Saccharomyces cerevisiae S288C: one gene and its partners. The gene in region 3 interacts genetically with the main gene of each other region. Each region holds a gene or a part of one and is shown on either strand. Other genes may lie near its edges.

The links.
Region 1: mutations in YJL068C (region 3) and GDH3 together harm fitness more than expected from each alone (negative genetic interaction), as found in Saccharomyces cerevisiae (2 studies listed by BioGRID).
Region 2: mutations in YJL068C (region 3) and BPT1 together harm fitness more than expected from each alone (negative genetic interaction), as found in Saccharomyces cerevisiae (2 studies listed by BioGRID).

The regions. Positions count from the first base shown.
Region 1 is NC_001133.9:28,636-33,440, reverse strand, and holds GDH3 (glutamate dehydrogenase (NADP(+)) GDH3), read right to left. Parts: upstream 1,875-4,805; coding exon 501-1,874; downstream 1-500.
Region 2 is NC_001144.5:113,138-121,611, reverse strand, and holds BPT1 (ATP-binding cassette bilirubin transporter BPT1), read right to left. Parts: upstream 5,181-8,474; coding exon 501-5,180; downstream 1-500. Other genes in the region: EMC6 (Emc6p), read right to left, coding at 1-290. UniProt on the Saccharomyces cerevisiae protein: Cooperates for the ATP-dependent vacuolar transport of bilirubin and glutathione conjugates.
Region 3 is NC_001142.9:310,728-315,826, forward strand, and holds YJL068C (S-formylglutathione hydrolase), read right to left. Parts: upstream 3,189-5,099; coding exon 2,289-3,188; downstream 1-2,288. Other genes in the region: UTP18 (Utp18p), read right to left, coding at 195-1,979; MPM1 (Mpm1p), read right to left, coding at 3,387-4,145; DLS1 (Dls1p), read right to left, coding at 4,327-4,830; mitochondrial 54S ribosomal protein bL17m MRPL8, read right to left, coding at 5,032-5,099. UniProt on the Saccharomyces cerevisiae protein: Serine hydrolase involved in the detoxification of formaldehyde.

The DNA of each region.
Region 1 (4,805 bases), on a different chromosome or scaffold from region 3:
TATGTTCAATGAATTTATTGTTATTCTTATTGCTGTTGTTATTATTGTTAACTGTCTATTAACTTTCAAATATCTTGACGATGGTCTTTTACCAATGACAAGGTTCAAGAATGAAGAGAACCACAAACACAGTCAGGTCCTTACTACTGCACATTACGACAGCCTTTATATACATTTTATCAAAAGCATTAACTAATGTGTTGCTAATAATCGCATCTGCCGGTCTTGTGCTACAGCCGTGGTGGTTAACCCCCTTGCTTAGTTCTCCTTATCATATCTGAGCTAACCAATGCCACTATCCCCCTTCAAATTGCCTAGGTTAATCATCTAATTACCGACATGTAATCTCCTCACCCCGCACGGCCACTACTAAGAAACTTCCGCGGAAGGGATTTCAGTTTCTTCCGTAATGCTGAACCCTATTTGCATAGTAAATTAAAAGTAGATTACACTACTACATACACAGATAGTTACGAACAAAAAGAAAATAGCGCTTACGGCTAAAAAACGTCTCCCTGGTCAAGCATTGCGTCAGCCACCATGACGAAGCTGGCAATGTTGGCCCCCTTGACCAATGATGGCAAGGTGTTTGTATTTTTTTCCGTAGAGTACTCTTGTGCGGCCTGTATGCAGTCGTTGAAGCAGTTGATCATTATCTTCTTTAGTTCTTGATCGACCCGCTCGGCAGTCCAAGTTACTTTTTGAGAATTCTGAGCCATTTCCAGACCGGATACTGCCACGCCGCCCAGGTTAGCTGCCTTTGGTGGCCCAAACCAAACTGCATCCTTTGCATTGGTTGCAGTGCTACGCGCTGTTTCGAAAACAGAAATAGCCTCGGGTGTAGAACCCATGTTAGCACCTTCGGCAACGAACTTAACGCCAGATGCCACTAGGGCCTTGGCTTCGTCACCACTGACCTCGTTTTGGGTGGCACAGGGCAAGGCAATGTCGACGTTGCTCACATGCGTCCATGGGCGTGCTCCTGCAACGTACTTCATCTTACTTTCGCTGAAAGTAGAGTATTCATCAACGATTTCCTCTAACGACTTGAAACGGATCTTGGCGGAAGCGATATCGTGAATTTGCTCAGAAGTAATGCCCGTCTCAGAGATGATGCACCCCTTCGAATCGGATAAAGACACCACAATACCACCCAGCTCGATCACTTTCAAAGCTGCATATTGCGCAACATTGCCACTTCCGGAGATTGTCACACGTTTGCCCTCAAACGACTCCTTGCCGTTTGTTGCATAATCGATCATTGCTTGCGTATAGTAAACTAAGCCGAACCCGGTGGCCTCCGGCCTGATAAGTGAGCCACCCCAGTTTAAACCCTTACCAGTCAACACACCTTCCCAGGAGTTCTTGTATGATCTGTAAGCGCCGAATAGGTAGCCAATTTCACGGCCACCGACACCAATATCTCCTGCGGGCACGTCTGTGTCCTTACCAATATGCCTGCTCAGTTCTCTCATGAACGCATAACAAATCCTTCTGATCTCGTTGTCAGACTTGCCTTTCAAGTCCACACACAGGCCACCCTTACCACCGCCCATATCTAGCCCAGTGAGCGCATTCTTGAAGATCTGTTCAAAACCCAAAAATTTTAGGATAGACAGGTTCACTGATGGGTGGAAGCGTAGGCCACCCTTGTAAGGGCCCTTGGCTGAATTGAACTGCACCCTGTATCCTTGAGCCACTTCTTGCTCGCCATTATCATTTTCCCACGTGACCCTGAATTGAATGATCCTCTCCGGGACAGAAACAATAGGTAACACTTTTTTATACTGTGGGAATTTTTCAAAAATTTTGGAATCCTCCACAGAAGAAACGATCTCATCGTAAGCCTGCTGAAACTCTGGTTCGCTTGTCATTTTTTACTTTTTACCTTTTCTTTTCGGTGACTGTTGCTACTTCCCTATATATATATATATATGTGTGTGTGTGTGTGTGTGTGGCCTATGTATGTACCTTTATATAACTGAGTTCGAACGGCTCAAAGTCAGAAGTCATTAACTGTTTATGTGAAAGTGAAATAAAAAGAAATACTCTTTTTAAGAAAGGCATCATGGTCATCACTTTTTCCATATTAACCAACGATAAAACTGTCCCTTTAATATCAATACTGCTTATCGATAAGATAAGTAATATACCCTTTAAAATCTCATTGGCTCCCTCTCCGCATTTTTTCCTTTCTTCAAAGAGCTGGGCCAATCAAGCAAACTGAACGGGAAGAAAAAGAAAAGTTGGTATAATATTTTTAGTTTTTAAGTGCAGAATATCTGTCAGCAGCCATATATATATATATATATATATATGTATATGCCTCCTATGCCTTCTTTTTAATGGGCGTTAATTACTTTGGCAAGTGCTCCGTTTTATCATACTTTACTTTTTCTTTTTTTGAAAGTTCTCAGAGACCCAACAAAACTTAAAAATAAAACAAAAAAAACAAGCTGCCACAAGTATGTTTATAGAAGAAAACTTTGAAAGCGTTTTATTTTGCAAGAATAATAGCTTCTACACTTTGAATTCTGAAACAATCCGGTGCTTGTTAGTTGTAATTTTTCTATTTAAAGTTGAAGTTCAGCTACATATAACAAATTATGCCTCACTTGATATTACCAGCTCACTTAAATTTCATCTTAACATTAAAATATTTACAGCCTAGCTTAAACTCACTCTGAAGACCTTCTGCACAATGTACAGGTACATCGTAAATAAAAAATTTGTTATGAATCTTGTGCGTCATTGAAATACATTGCCTATGAATTGGTCAATGGATTACGCAACATCAGCTTTTTAATTTAACAGTAAGTGTTTAGTAGTAACAATGATCGCCATTTTGAACGATAAATGCCTTGACGGTTTTTACAACATTGCGATTAACATTTTTACGACTTTTACAGGATTCTGCGTTCATGCATTTGGATGAATATCTCTTCCTCGCTGTTCAGCAAGAGAACAAACGACGTATTACTGGTCATTCGATCACAACATTTATGCGCCTTTCCTTCGCCAAGAAGTCAAGAAGTATTCCATGAACCGTAGTCTAAGAGATTTTTATTAGAAGATCATATAACCGCACGTCCATAGCCTGAGGGGGGGTTCTGTGGAAAGCTAAAGATATCGCACTTATTGAAAAATATAGGCGATACATAAATTTCTCAAAGTAAGTAAACAATAGTTTAAACCCAAATTTACACCGACAGTGCCGCTGCTAGCTTAAACAGGAATTGACCATTTATTGTAATTCCATATGCCAAGTAGGCTTTTCATTTTTGCATCTTCAATACATTAAAGTTAACGTATACTCGACAAGTGGTGCATTGAAAAAAAAAAATCGAATTTTCTATGTGGAAAATACACCCAAAAATGTTCTTCAGAATGTATACTTCGCTAAACCAATTAATGTGCCTATGCAAAAACTTTGAACAAATCAAGAAATTTTTTTGGACATGGATTGACCAGAGATTGACGTAACTCATGCCCTGTCAATGATTTTAGCTTGTGCGACGAAACGTACTTCTCTGAGAAAATCCAGACGAAAAAAAATGACACCAAAATCCCGTCATTATTTACGTTCGAAAAGAAAAAAGTAGGCAATATTTCCCTTTTCGTTTCTTGCCTCTTCTTATGTCATAAGAAACTTACGTGATAAACCAATCGAAAAAGGAAACAAGAAAAAGACAAAAAGGGAAAGCTCTGATGCACCATTAATCTGGTGAAAAAGTAGTGCGAAGGCAACTATTCCATGAACTGATTTTCATTGTAGAAACAATCATTATTGTTTTCTCAAAATTTCTATAATTTTATTGATTAAATATCAGCACCTCCATAACCACCTTGATATGCTCTGATAGACAATCAATGCATAGCTAGTAAACCGAAAATAAACTACAAAAACGTGGATGAAAAATATACGGTTTACTATTCCTTAACTTAATATCAGTAACAGACCGGCTGGAACAAATTTTTCACGAGTAAAAATTTGGTCAAGCAGTTATAGTGTAGTGTCTTCAAAGTATTTTTACCGTATTGTAACTTTTCAATTTTCCAGCCACACGTGAAGTAAGCTGCAAACTAACAAGTGTTTGCAGCGCTCTAGGGAGTTTTCTCTATGACGTAACTTGGCTGCCTTTTCTTCAAAAAAAAAAGGATCTAATCTCTGAAAAACGGAGTTGCCTTCCAAGTGCAGCAAGCTTGGCAGGTATGATTTCAAAAACCATGAGAAAAAAAGCGTATATAGTTACCTTGCTGAAATGCCGGTATATTTTGATTGCACCCAGCTGGGACATGTGAATAAGTCTCAAAAGTGGAACGAATTACCTCAAAGCCATTATTTTTTGAAAATGCATCAATCATATTTTTGTGTGACAGACTTACTGCACACTGGTTTTAAAGGACGTATAAGAATTAAGTATAACTAACCAATAAATACTTTTAAGGTTTAAAATATTCACAACACATCCCGTCAGTGTCCGCAACAAAAAGTGGCTGTGAAATTAGGTATCTCTTGTTTACTTTCGAGATCAGAGGTCACATAGGGCACTCAAAAGGGTAGTCAGCTCACTTTAGTATTTAAGATACACCGACGCCATGTAAGAGGCAGGAACCGAAAAAAATATACAGCACCTGCCTGCTCCTTTTTCAGGGAATACCGTGCGATGTCAAATTTTTTGCTGCTTTGTAAGCTAACCTTAATTTTAGTCGGCTGACAAAATTCACTTTCCTATGGCTATTTCTGTGTTTTTTTTGTATCGCGCTTACTAGGTGAAAACTTTATTTGACATTAAAGTTACATG
Region 2 (8,474 bases), on a different chromosome or scaffold from region 3:
ACAAAACCAGTTATCTCTCTAAAAAACGATTCGAAAAAAATGTCATGAAGTGGGCTTTGGTAGAACTTTCCTGGTTGAAGTTGACAGATCCAAACAATGTAAATGACATTAATCAAGTTGTACAGAATCAGGAACCAAATAAACCCATGGACTGACTCGATTTGCAAAAATCCTGCAACAAGCCCTAGAACAAGTGCTGAGCTATCTTGCACGAAAAGTAAACGCTTCTTATTATCAACCACATTCGCAGTTGCGTTTATCTGAGTAAATACCTCTTCATTTGAGCTCATTTCTATCTGTCTGCCGCTGTCTTTCTCGAACACTGCTTGAGCAATCCAACATAAGGTTAAAATTAAGTTGTATTTAGTTATATCTCTACTAGCTTCATTTGTGATTACCCGGGTTACTAGAAAGCATATAGAAAGAAAAAGAATTGGCGTGACCGTACATATTGCAGCGCATTAAATGTTCTATATCTTCATATATAATAATCAATGTCATTATTTCAAATACCCACCTTTCTCACAAAGACTGTAAAAAATAGACGTTTTATCGGATAACAATTTCGAGGGTGAATCGAATTCCCTCACACTACCCTGGTCAAGAACAATTATCTTATCACTGTCCAATACAGTGTCGATACGATGTGCAATTGTTAAGATGGTACGGTCCTTAAATTCTCTTCTTATAGTGTCTTGGATAATTTTATCGGTTTCCATATCCACAGAAGCCGTTGCTTCATCAAGGACCAATATTTTGGAACGGTTTAGCAGCGCTCTTGCCAAACATAGTAGTTGTCTTTGCCCCACTGACAAGTTACTACCGTTCTCATTAATCTTGACATCCAGAATATCATTAACATTGCCATCCTCTTCATTAGAATCATCACCTCTTGGTTTACTGTGCAGCATTTTTTCCAGATGAGGCTTTAAATGTGCCTGCTCAACAGCCCTTTTAAGTTCATCTTCTGAATAACGATTGAAAGGGTCCAAATTGGTCTTTACTGTACCTTCAAAAGCTTGTGCATCCTGAGGAATAATTGCCAAATGGCTTCTTAAATCGAACAGACCTATGTCGGATATATCAATGCCGTCAATAATAATTTTACCTTCGGTAGGTTCTAGTATTCTAAATAATGCCAGGCTCAGTGTAGACTTCCCTGCACCTGTTCTGCCAACAATCCCAACCTTTTCACATGGCTCAATCTTCACGTTAATATTATTCAGCACTGGATCCAAATTTTCTCTGTATTTTGTGGAATAGTTTTTGAATTCAATACCACCCTTTGATGGCCAATTTTCATCTGGCCTCTTTTCAGGGTTAATGGACTGTGCTTCAGGTGGTAATTCGCAGTACTCAACAATTCTCTCCACTGATACAATGTTGGTTTCAATCGTCACAGTTGTCCTTACAATCCAAGTCAATGAACCTGTAACCTCTAATGAATAGCTCATTAGTAGACCAACCATACCCGAACTTAGTTGCCTTTTAGTATTCATTGTTGCTAGTGCTAAGATTGCAGTAGCCAAAACAATTGTAGCACCAATAGTTTGCAATCTCACGGATAACCATCTATTCGTTGATCTAAAGTTGAAGACAAAATCAACGTTGTATTGGATTTTTTCATAATTTAGATAGATGAATCTCTCAAAATGATCGTATGCATCAATAATAGAATAACCGTTCAAGCTCTCACTCATTAAGGACATAATCGGAGAGTAAGATATACTGATCAATCTTTTTAGCTCCCTAGATAGCACAATGTAAAATGTTTGATAGTAAATATAGATAACCACCAAAAACATATTGAACACTAAAAACCATGGCATATTGTACCCGACTAATATAACAGTAACCAAATAGGTTAGTATTGATTTGAAAAAAAAGGAGAAAATGTACTGTAGATTACTGTCCACTGCATCCATATCAGATGAGAACCTGTTTATGATCCTTCCAACTGGTGTAGTCTCAAAGAAAGTCATAGGACTTCTAATTACAGATTTGGCCATGCTTTCATGCAGTTTCTTAGAACCCCTAATAGAACAATACAGTAGCATCATAATACTCCGTAAATTATTGAATGCGGCCGATGCTACTCCGATTAAGGAATACACACCAACAAACATCCAAACCCTTTCATTTGAACCATTTTTTTCATTAGATTCTGACCAGTACTTTAACCAAAAATTCTCTGCTAAGTCGAAAACCCTTGTTAATATCATAAACAAGAAAAATAAAACAACACCTAAAACTCCACAAGCCTTAATATACGCAAGATAAATCTTTGTTTTGACTCTTCCCACCTCTGTCTTCTCGGCCTTTTGCGCCGTTTTCTTCACGGAATCCAATTGTGCTCCCACAAAGGGTCTAGGTCTTAGCGTAGCTAGAGAAGCTCTTCTAGAATTGGCTTTGATTAGTTCTAATTCACTCTCAGTAACAACCTCATCCTCAGTTTCTGATTCAGTTACTTTAAGCTGCAGAGGTTCATCCACTTCACTTTCGGATCGGTGTTCAGTTTGGACATCGCTTTCATTTCCATTATCAATCGGAGAATCAAATTCCTCTAGTAATTTTTTCAGTTTTGAAGTATTGTTCTTACGGTTCATTACATCCTCATAATTCCCTTGTTCAACAATTTCACCGTTTTCTAGCGCATATATCATCTGCGAATGTTTTAAAATTGATACAGTATTGGTAGTTAAAATAATTGTTTTATTTTTTAATAAAGCCGTCTTTCCGATCAAAACATATTCAATAATATTTTTACTAACTTCTGCATCAACAGCAGATAAAATGTCATCCAACAAATAAATATCTGCTCTCGAGTACACCGCTCTGGCTAATGAAAGACGGGCCTTCTGACCGCCTGATAGGGAAATGCCCTTTTCACCTACCAAAGTTTCATCACCATCTGGTAGTATTTTCAAATCGGGTAGCAATTGACATGCTTTAATAGTGAGGTCATAATAATCTTGGTCGAACTTGTGACCAAATAGAATGTTTTCTCTTACAGATGCGTTCATTATCCAGGATTCTTGTGAACAGTAGGCTACAGACGATGATCTAATGATCAGTTTAGGTGGTATCGAGTCCCTAGAACCACTCATGCAAGGAAGTTGACCAAGAATTGCCTTCAAAAATGTTGATTTACCAGCTCCTACCCGACCAACAACACAAACTAAATCACCCCTTTTTGCTTCAAAATGATCGATATTCTTCAACGCAATTTGAGAAGATCCGATAATAGACTCTTCATCTGTCCTCAAATTATCTCCAGATTGGCTAGATGTTAATACTTCTTTTGATTTCCATAAAAATGTAATATTATTCATCTCTATAGCAGGTAACGCTCTTTCATCCGCTGAAGGATCAATACGTTCGATGAACGAATCATCAATTTCGTCACTAAGTAGGAATGACTTTAATCTTTCCATAGAAACGCTTGTCTCTATAATGGTATTTATCATGGATGGAACGGAATAGATGGCACTGTTCAAAATATTAAATAAAGATAATGAAGGGAAGACAATGGCAGGAGATAACGGAGAATCACTAAATAAAGAAAATAAGCCAAATGTGGAACATGTCACCATTAAAGGTACACAATTCCACGCAAAATATATCAGATTGCTCACTATACCAATTTTCCGAAAATTTTTCAACTCCATATCATTACGAACATGATTCAATCTTGCCATCATAGGTTCCTCCCAGGCGTATAATTTAATAGATTTTATAGCATTCAAAAGCTCTGTAATAGTCTTGATTCTCATGTCCTTATACTTCATTTGAGTTTTTGATAGCTTTTTTACCTTTCTAGATAAGAAGGCATTGATAGGCATCATAATAGCCATAGTAACCAACCCTCCAATAACAGCCTTTCCTAGCAACCAGTACAGGGAAGTTAATACAACAATAATCTGAATAGGAGCGCCAATAATGGTTTGGGCATTTTCGAAAAACCGCTGGATCCTTAACACATCCACAGACATCAAATTTAAGATGTCACCAGTAGATTTTTCGTTACGCTCTGCTAGCGTCAATCTTAAGGACTTCTGATACACTAAAGAAGCTAAAGAGCCTCTTATCCCCAAACCAGCCTCAAAAATTCCAATATAAAATTGATTGGTGAGGAACACAGAAACCACGCTGATTACGAAAAGGGTTAGAGCAATAAATACACCATTTAAAGGAGGATATTTAGAAGATGTTTCCGGGTTCAAACCATCTATGAATATCCGTAGAAACTGGGGCTGTACTACAGAAAGTAAATCAGATGTCGTTTCATACAGCATAGCCACAGAAATAGTCCTACCAAATGACTTCCAAATGGCCCTCCAAAGAGAATTTCTATTCAACCATTTTTCCAATTCCCAGTTAGCCTTAAATTCCTTACTTATCGACTTAATATTCAGATCTACTGGCGGCAATGGTAACTGGTTAGGATCTTTGATTTTCTTGTTACGGTAAGTTTCCACAATCAGTTTGTTCATCCAGATAAATGTAATATAGGATAGTACATGAACGGGGGGATACCACCCATTTTTCTTGTAGTATTCAGATAATTCGTTAATTGGCTCAAAAATGCATAGATCATAAATAAAAATTGCCACAGAATTGAAAAGAAGGAGCACTTCTAAAATCATAGCAGTTTGTCCGCTAATAACAGTAAGCCTTTCGTTACTAGAACCATGATAGTACCTCTGCAATATCAAGAAGAGCTGTAGAAGAATTTGAAACATGTAATAGAAAAGCTGGTTGCCCATTGAAAATGTACTTTTAAAATAAGCTAAGTATTGAGTAGGGAGAGAAATACCCAAATTGAAAAGGAGATTCAAGTACAGAGCCTTCTTTAGTATAAATGGATAAACCCTATCGCTAGATTGGGATACCAAGGCCAGTTCACAAATTATAAGCGTGGACTGAAAGCAAACATTGGTCAAATGCGTTAGATGTCGACTGTTGATTTTACTTGGTAATGTAGGAAAGTTCTTAAATCTGGGTGGTACTTTATTGTTCTTATAAAGTTTCCACAATTGATAGCTACCAATCAATAGGAAAAAGACGGCTTGCCAGGCGGATATTACTGATATAAAACATGGATTTAATGCATTTGTGCCACTATCTGGATATGGTCGGTATCCATAGGGGCACCCATCTACCACTTCTAGTGAAGACATTGTCTTTATATTAATCTTTTTTAGACAAAATTTTCTTTATGATCTCTTTAAAATTAACCACTGCTAATATATGTTCAGAAGAGACCTTGGTATAGAAAAGTATGCGAGGACAATCTGTTGATAGGTTCAGGAGTATGCGATTTTAATTTGGAGAACTGGCTGAATTAACTTATACTCAGGCGCAATTTTTTAAAGGGAATTGGAATTATCGCGATGTCGCTACGGCCAAAAATTTGAGGGCATTTAAATATTATGGTATGCTATAAATAAGCAAATATATAATAAACTAGGCAAACAATACGATCAACATTGTGGGATAGCAGCCGTCGGGCTTGATGACGGACATAGTTTACTATAGTGATCAATAAATAATATAACAGGAGAAAACAAACAAAATAATTAATCCACCGAGAGAAGGAAATCGAACATACGGCGCCGTTACTTAGAAACCTTGGGAGCTTTTTTCTTTGTCTTATGTAATTGAAATTTTGGAAATCTGTCTTTCTTAGTGGATGTTTTTCCTTCATCGGTTTGGTCATCCCTGGATTTTTCTTGTGATTTATTATTCGAATTGGAATTCGGAACGACTTTCTTTCTTGGTTTTGGTTCAATAATTAATGATAATTGGTATTGTTTCTCAATATGGGGGATGTTTTCCAATGAATTTGATATACATTCAATTACCGTCCGATCTTTAGTGAAATCATAATGTGTTTTCTTGAAATATATGATCTCTTGTAAGATATCAACAAGTCTGCTCCTTTTGTTGAAGTTTATATATTTCTTCTCATCATGGACACCCTTTAAACCATGTTCCAAGACAAGATAATCCGGATTTCCGGAATCAGTAAAGGTTAGATCAGATAAATAAACGCCGAAAAACGGTACGCAGGGAGCGCTATGTAAAGATTTCAGCTCGTTTCTGTAATTTATGAAATTTTTCTTGGGATCCATCAACTTGTTCAGTGACTGCAATAGATCTCTCGTTTGAGGAATAACTGCCTGCCAGGTTTTCTCTAAACGATAAATTGGTGAAGAATATAATGCTGAAATGATTGCAGTCATGGAAGAAAAGTTATTGAATTTCCTACAATATTCTGCGATAAAAATAAAATGAGAGAGTAGCTTGGCGCGCTTACTTTTATCAGCCTCCTTTACAACAGAGTAGGATATGAAATTTGTCAGTTTATTGGCAAAACTGATAAACTCGTTCAAACCCGGTGAAGCCCCATACGATTTTGTATACTTGTTCTTCCAAATTTTTTGTAAACAATCAAAAATGGTTATCTCACAATAAATTTCATGCTCTAGTATCGTTAATTGAGTGGCAAATAAAACTGGATCGACGGCCAAAATGGATTCCGTGGTAGAGTATAAAGTGCCCGAGTAATGGTCCTGGCAGATCTGTTGATCTAACGTTTTCATTGGTGCAGTCGCTTCTTGTATATTACCATGTTTAAACTTCTGATTGACCTCCTTTAGTAATTCCACAGATCCTGTTATATTTTCCTTGATTGCTACTTGCGCAAAATAATCCAGATTTAGGGTCGCAAGATCGGGCTCATCATAGCCCAGGAACCAATATTGCTTGAAAAAGGTTGTCATAATCTCAACCACCCTACATTTAACCGGTATAAGCTTTTTCGTCACCCATTCATTGTATTCTTCAAAGCACAAATCCTCTGGTGGATCCAAATTATATTGCGAAATCAAGTAGCTTAAAAACTCCGTTGTAGTAAAGATGCTTCTGAAAGTGATTAAAAAAGTAATATCGAAAAATAGATCCTTCTTTTCATTATCTGTCAAGTAAGAGATCAGTGCGTGTTTAGAACCACCTTTAATCCTATTGTTAGAGCCCCAAATCAGTTCACTGTCATACTCGCGCTGCAAATACCTCGGTAATTTGACTTGGCTGTCACGCCATTCGTCATTGTCTTTAGTATCTGAATCTGCATAAACAGCATTCGTGTCACTTTTTTCGGCAGTTTCACCGCCGTCATAGGACCCATAGCCTTCTTCCCCGCGCAATAGCAATTCCGTGATATTGTTTTTCATCATTCTAGCAGCATAATTTAACAAATTCTCTCTTTCTAGAATTAATTGATTCACGAACTCAATGGCTAGTTTAAGCACATCAAAATAGTCATCACAGGATTTTTTAAAAACGTGGGCGAGATTAAAAAACTTTAAATCATTGAAATCAGAATCTTGATTGATGAGGTTGTGGAAGAGAATAAGACTATCCGGGTCTGGCTCATATTCATCTTCCTCCTCTTGGATATCAGTATTTTGGCTCCCATTCTTCTTATCCTTGGCATTATCTAAATTCAAGGATGAAGGTTTCATTGGTTCATAATAACCGGTAGGCAAGTCGTTTTGCATTGGCGAGAAAACGAAAGGATCCTCTAATGTCAAATGCTGGGCGACAATTATAAATTTCACTACTACATCATGAAAATATTGCTTCATATTAAAATAGTCGGATAAGATATACGATAGGGATGATAAAGAATGTTTCAAAAACTCTTCATCTTCATCATCAATAGCGACATCTTCGTCAAAAACTCTATTCTCATCTCCCAACTCTCTCAAGTTTAGAAAAATAGTTAAATCTAGGTTTTCCAGAATATCAATTATAGGAATTGTTCCGCTTACTTCTTCGTAGGTTTTGAAATTCATTTCAAAATTCAACATTTTTGAAAAATTAGCCGTGTTACTGAGATATTCATTAGCACTTTTGATCATTTGTTTTAGTTTACCATCAAGCTGCTTCTTCCTGGCCCTTACAAGGCTTAGAGTTTCTTCATTTAGCGGGTATGGTTTTTTCCTTTTGGACCATATGGTGTCAGACTCATCGGAACTTCCTGACACATTAGAGAAAATGGTACCTCTTCTCCTTCTTTGAAACGGGGCTGATGGTGAATGGTGAGACGTTTCTGACGAGCATGAAGTGCCCTGTTTGGAAGCTGGAATTTCATCAATATTTTCCGCAACAATTCCTGAAGCACCAGCAACGGCTTTAATCATCTGTCTCGGTAGGTCATGGGACATATGCTGGTTGAGACGCTTACGCAAAAACGGGTTATTCCATGAAATTGTATTGAAAGAATCCTTGAAAAATCGAGGAGTCAATTGAGGCAGTATTGTAAGTTCGTTAGGATTTGAGAGGAAATGTAGTAAACGCAGTAGAAAATGAAATTTTTGGAAGGTTCCTAGGATTGACTGTAGAAGAGGGGATCTTCTTTCTGGATCCTTCTGGGAGGCTATGGCTTCTCTTTCTTCAAACAATGTGGA
Region 3 (5,099 bases):
AATGTCCCCTTTTTTTCCATATATTATATTTAATTTCTCGGACAATTTTTCATTTCTGACTATAAATGACAGCAAGAAAAAAGTGGGCAGAATCATATTCAATTTCAAGTTTCTTCGCAATTTTTTTACAGTGATATTTTGTGTATGTATTTGTACATTGCTTTTAATATCTAAGTTTGTCTATAAATGGAAATTTAGTAGTGGTTTAATTTCCAGAGCCTCACTTTACCTTGTTCGTTACCCACGGCCAGTAGCCCACCAGATGGCGAAAATGCGACACTGGTAACTTTACCCAAAGGCGTCCCGCTGGTAGGCCAGTTGCTGAACACGCTACAAGAAGGCAGATGAACTAGTCTCAAAGCATCCTTGACTGCACGGGATGCCATGCACAGTATTTGACCATCAGGGGAAAATTGTAGATTAGAAATGGTAGTTGTTAGCTGGTCCAAGGCGGCGACAGGTGTAGGGGTCGACGAGGTCATAGCATTATTTCTATCGTAAAGATTAACAAATCCACTCTCACTACCTACCGCAAGCCACCTATTTTGCTTTATCTTACTTATTTGAAGAGCCGGACAAGTAGTTGTTGTCCCACCACCAACTTGGATTTTTGTTATACCCACGCCACCTTGGTCTTTCCATCTTCTTATAACATGGCCATTCTTATTCAAGTCAAATTCCCACACTTCACCATACGCGTTTACAGCAATTAAAATGGTCCTAAACTTACCACGTGAAATAGGTTGATAATCGATACAGAAATCCGTTATCACACCTTCTATCTTGCAGCCCATTAACCATAGTCCGGAAGTGGAATGTAAAATGTTAATCCAACCATTATTACCCTGTAAAAGGACAATTCCATGGACAGAATTTGTTTGTGAATTCTGCAAATGTGCAACTTTGAAATTCTCAAATGATCTTTGAGTGGACTCATGTCCATACAATCTGGAAAATTTTTCGATTTTGGCAGTCTGTGAATGAGTTAAATTTTCTAAGGATAAGTCCCAGGAATGCATATATCTTCTTCTACCGGCGGTGAATATATTTTGTTGATTTTGGTTTGATAGAGAAGTATAGAAAGTACATGTTTGTATTGGAGACCCAACCAGGTGCAAACTTGTCACTAGATGGTTCGTTTTCCCGTCAATATGATATATTCTTAAGGTCTTATCATACCCACCCGTTAACAGTAGAGGCTTAGAAGGATGGAATGAAAGAGATTGTATGGCGGAATGAGACGGGTGTGATGCATTTGCATCTTTAAGACGCACAATGTCAAGTTTCTTAGGGGGTAATAGTTTGGAATTCGATAAAGTGTCTTTATAATTGTAAGTAGTAGACAGGATCTTCGTTAGAGCATTAATATCTCCATTAATAACATTATTAGAGCCTTCTTCTTCATCGTCTTCTTCGTCATCTAATTCAGAATCAGATTCATCGTCCACCCATTTGGGCCTTGGATATATCTTTTCAAACTGAGATCTCAATCTGTTGATGTAATGAACACCGTTGATTTTGGACTCGTTATAGGAGGTTCTTAATTTCTTTGTCTTATTGGTAACAAGAATAGGCACTTTAATTTTTTCATCATCCGAATCTATCCAAGCAGCTTCTTCAGAGTCCTCAGAATAATCATCGCTTGAAGAGTCATCTTCGTCATCCACGTCCATGGTATCTTCATTCTTATCTTGACTATCTTCGTTACCACCATCGTCCACAAAAAATAACTGATCGTTGTTAACATGGTCTAATTCACCGTTCTGCGCTTCATCTTCTTCACTGTTATCTGATTCAGATCCCTCATCCTCCTGGTCTTCAACATCCATTTCTTGTTCATTGAAAATGAAATCGGCATTAAATTTAGCGAGATTTTCTTGTAAATCTGTTGTATCACCGAATACAAATTTGGCTAGTAACTGTTCTTCTTCATCTGGTGGAGGTACGCTAACATTCATTGCGGTTGTTGCCATTGTCATTGTCGCACTAATGTAGGCTGATATACACTTTCAAGAACGATACCACAACAGGACCAGAGTGATCGATGAGATGAGGTGAAATTTTTTTATTTTTCGTTTTTTTCATTTCATATTATTAAATTCGTCGGATGTGATGCCAATTAACCACATAATAGCAATAGTAATGGAAGTTACAGGTGACATAAAATCTACTGCGAATAACCTTTGAAAGGATAACTATGTTTGGCCATTTTTTTCTACGGACGTATATTTCACTAAATATGTACATAGAAAAGTCATAAAAATTACCATAATGAAATGCGATGCCTCTCAAATCAAACCCAAGTTTCGCGCATGAAATTCAGCATGTTCTGGAACGAAAGTGCTGACAAAGTAATAGGAGTGATCAAAGCCGTGAACTTTTTTTATTTCCACGTAGTCCTGCCATGAAGTGGCTTTCACCGCCTCAAGTAGTAATTCCGGTTTCAAGTGTTCTTCCAAAAAGGGATCGGAGTCTCCTACATGGATCAAAATTCTGTCGTCGCCCACATGTCTAATATTCTTGATTAATAAACATGGGTCGTACGCTTCCCACTGGGCTTTTTCTTCGCCCAGATAACCTTTAAACGCTTTTTGACCCCAGGGAACGTTGGAAGGGTTCACGATAGGGGCGAAGGCAGAACAAGATTTGTATCTCTTTCCGGAATAGCCCTTCAAATACCCACAAATTGCACCATATCCCCCCATCGAATGGCCTGTGATGGCAACATTGTCCAAGAAGTCCAGCTTTACGTCACCGTTCTTGTTAAAATGAGAATCTAATGTTTGTGGGAGTTCTTTGTGAATGTAGTCGTACATCTGGTAATGTTGGGCGTATGGTTCTTGGGTGGCATTTAGATAGAATCCGGCGCCCTGTCCAAAATCCCAGGAGCCCTCAGGATCATTGGCTACTTCGTCACCACGTGGGGACGTATCCGGAAAGACTATTGCAAATCCGTACTTGTCAGCTTGAAACTGCCAAAAAGCCTTCTCAGAGGCGTTGTCTGGCGTGCACGTCAAGCCAGAAAGGTAAAACACAGTTGGGATACGCTTATTTCTTGGAAAATCTTGGGCGTAATAGTGCTTAGGCAAATAGATATTGACGTTCATGCTGGTCTTGGTAGAGTTCGAGTTATGTGACAACTTGATCAATCTGCCACCACAGACACTAAATTCCTTAACAACCTTCATATTGAACTATGTGAATCGCTTATATGTATTTTATTGATGCTATATATTGTCAAAAATGTGTATTGATCTTTTGTGTGTGTGTGTGTGGATCTCCCCTTAGCAGTCGCATGTTTTCCACACGCGCAAGGTCATAATCGTGCGATATATACAAGGCATATTGTGTAAGATATGAGTAAAAAAAGGAAACGAAAATATGTCCTAATTGTCTTCGTCAACACTCACCACTTTATGCTTCACCTGGGGACTGGAACCCTTGGAGGTAGTGGTGGTAGTAATGTCTACCGTGCCATCGTCAAAGTAGATTTTTTCAGTTTTGACGGTGCTGGGTTTTGCATCATTGGAATCCTTCGTGGTACTAATGGACTGTGCCCTTCCAACAATTTTCTTGGATCCATCTGCAGAAGCATATTCAGCATCGTTGCCCAGATGCAAGTCGTCCCAATTCAACATGAGGTCTTCTGGAGTTCTAGCCAGAGGCTCTACGGCAGTGCTCCTAGTCTTGATTCTTTGTTTTTGTAGTCTATTCATGTGCGACCTCCACTTCAAAAAGAGGTTGAAATCATTGAAGAACAACCCATGAGAGTGCGACTTGTCAGATTTGATCTCCTCCAGAGGTAAGAGGAAGTCCAATTGTGGTAGAGGGGGGATAGCCTTACTTGGGACAAGACATTTCCAAATCCCTTGGGTGGTCCATGCAGACTGGCCCTTAAGTTCTTCGCACTTGTCAAACTGCTTCACCGTAGGGATTCCGGACGCCATGGCAAGTGCACTATCTCCAAGATCTCTGAAGTTGAAATTGAAGGGCAGTGGTAGGAGTGGATTATCGTATTCATCAATATCCCTTAACTTTGGAAAGAGGTTCCAGAAGGGTGCCGTTGCGAACTTTTGATCTTTGATATATTTGTCATTAAATGCCTTGGTGTTGGCATCATTGTCATCGCCTTCATAAAAGCCCATATCGAGTAAACGGTTTGTCGGTTTCCTTTGTCTTTCTTGTCCTTTTCGTTTGTAACCTCCTAAATTCAAGGCTTAATATTTTTTTTTTCCCCTTTACTTAATTAACGTATAAAGAAACTATGTTGTTCTACAGATCGTGAGAGAGAGAAGAAAAATCCTTCTATGCAATGTGCTTGTGTAGTTATTCTTGATCAGTAACGTCTTCGTCGTCGTCTTCGTCATTATCAAGATCAATCTCGACAATGTTGGGCTTCGGAGCCGTATCGTTCACCACATAGGCGGAGTAAACTTCATTAGGGGGCATGACACTTGTAGTATATCTAACTCGGTTTTCTTCCACTAGAAGCCTCAAATTCTTTGTTGTTGGTATCACATCATTCAAAAACTGCAGATGGCCGTCAGAAGAGTGCACAATTGCGGCAGAGATGTCATCGTACGACAGCGTGAGTTCATCTGGGAGCGGCGGTACCTGTTGTTGTTGCTGCTGCTGTTGCCTATGTAGGGACTCATGTGTCAGCACCTGGACGAAGAATTCTGTAGCAAACGCTGTGGCTACGAATGCGTCATCCGAAGTGTCCATATATTCTGGATCATTCTTGGCTATTCTCTGCACTTTTTCTACAGGTAACTTGGGCGAACACAGAGGTGCAGACGCCGTTTCTTTACCACTAGTCTCGTTGTTCATTGTGTTAGCCTGATCACATCGAGCGAGCTATCCTGACGCTATTCTCTCTTGTTTCTTCTGTTTTGTTTCTCTTACATTTTTCATTTTTTTCTCTAGTTGGAAAAAAAAAAAAACACTATATTAGAATACGCACATTGTTAGCGCTGTTCTTTCAATTGTCATCTATATATTTACAAGGGAATACACAAAATCCTGGTTTTTTTAAGGTCTGGGAACCATGACATAGGAGGAGGGTTTCTTCGTCTTCTTTGGCAATGACGAAGAGTAGA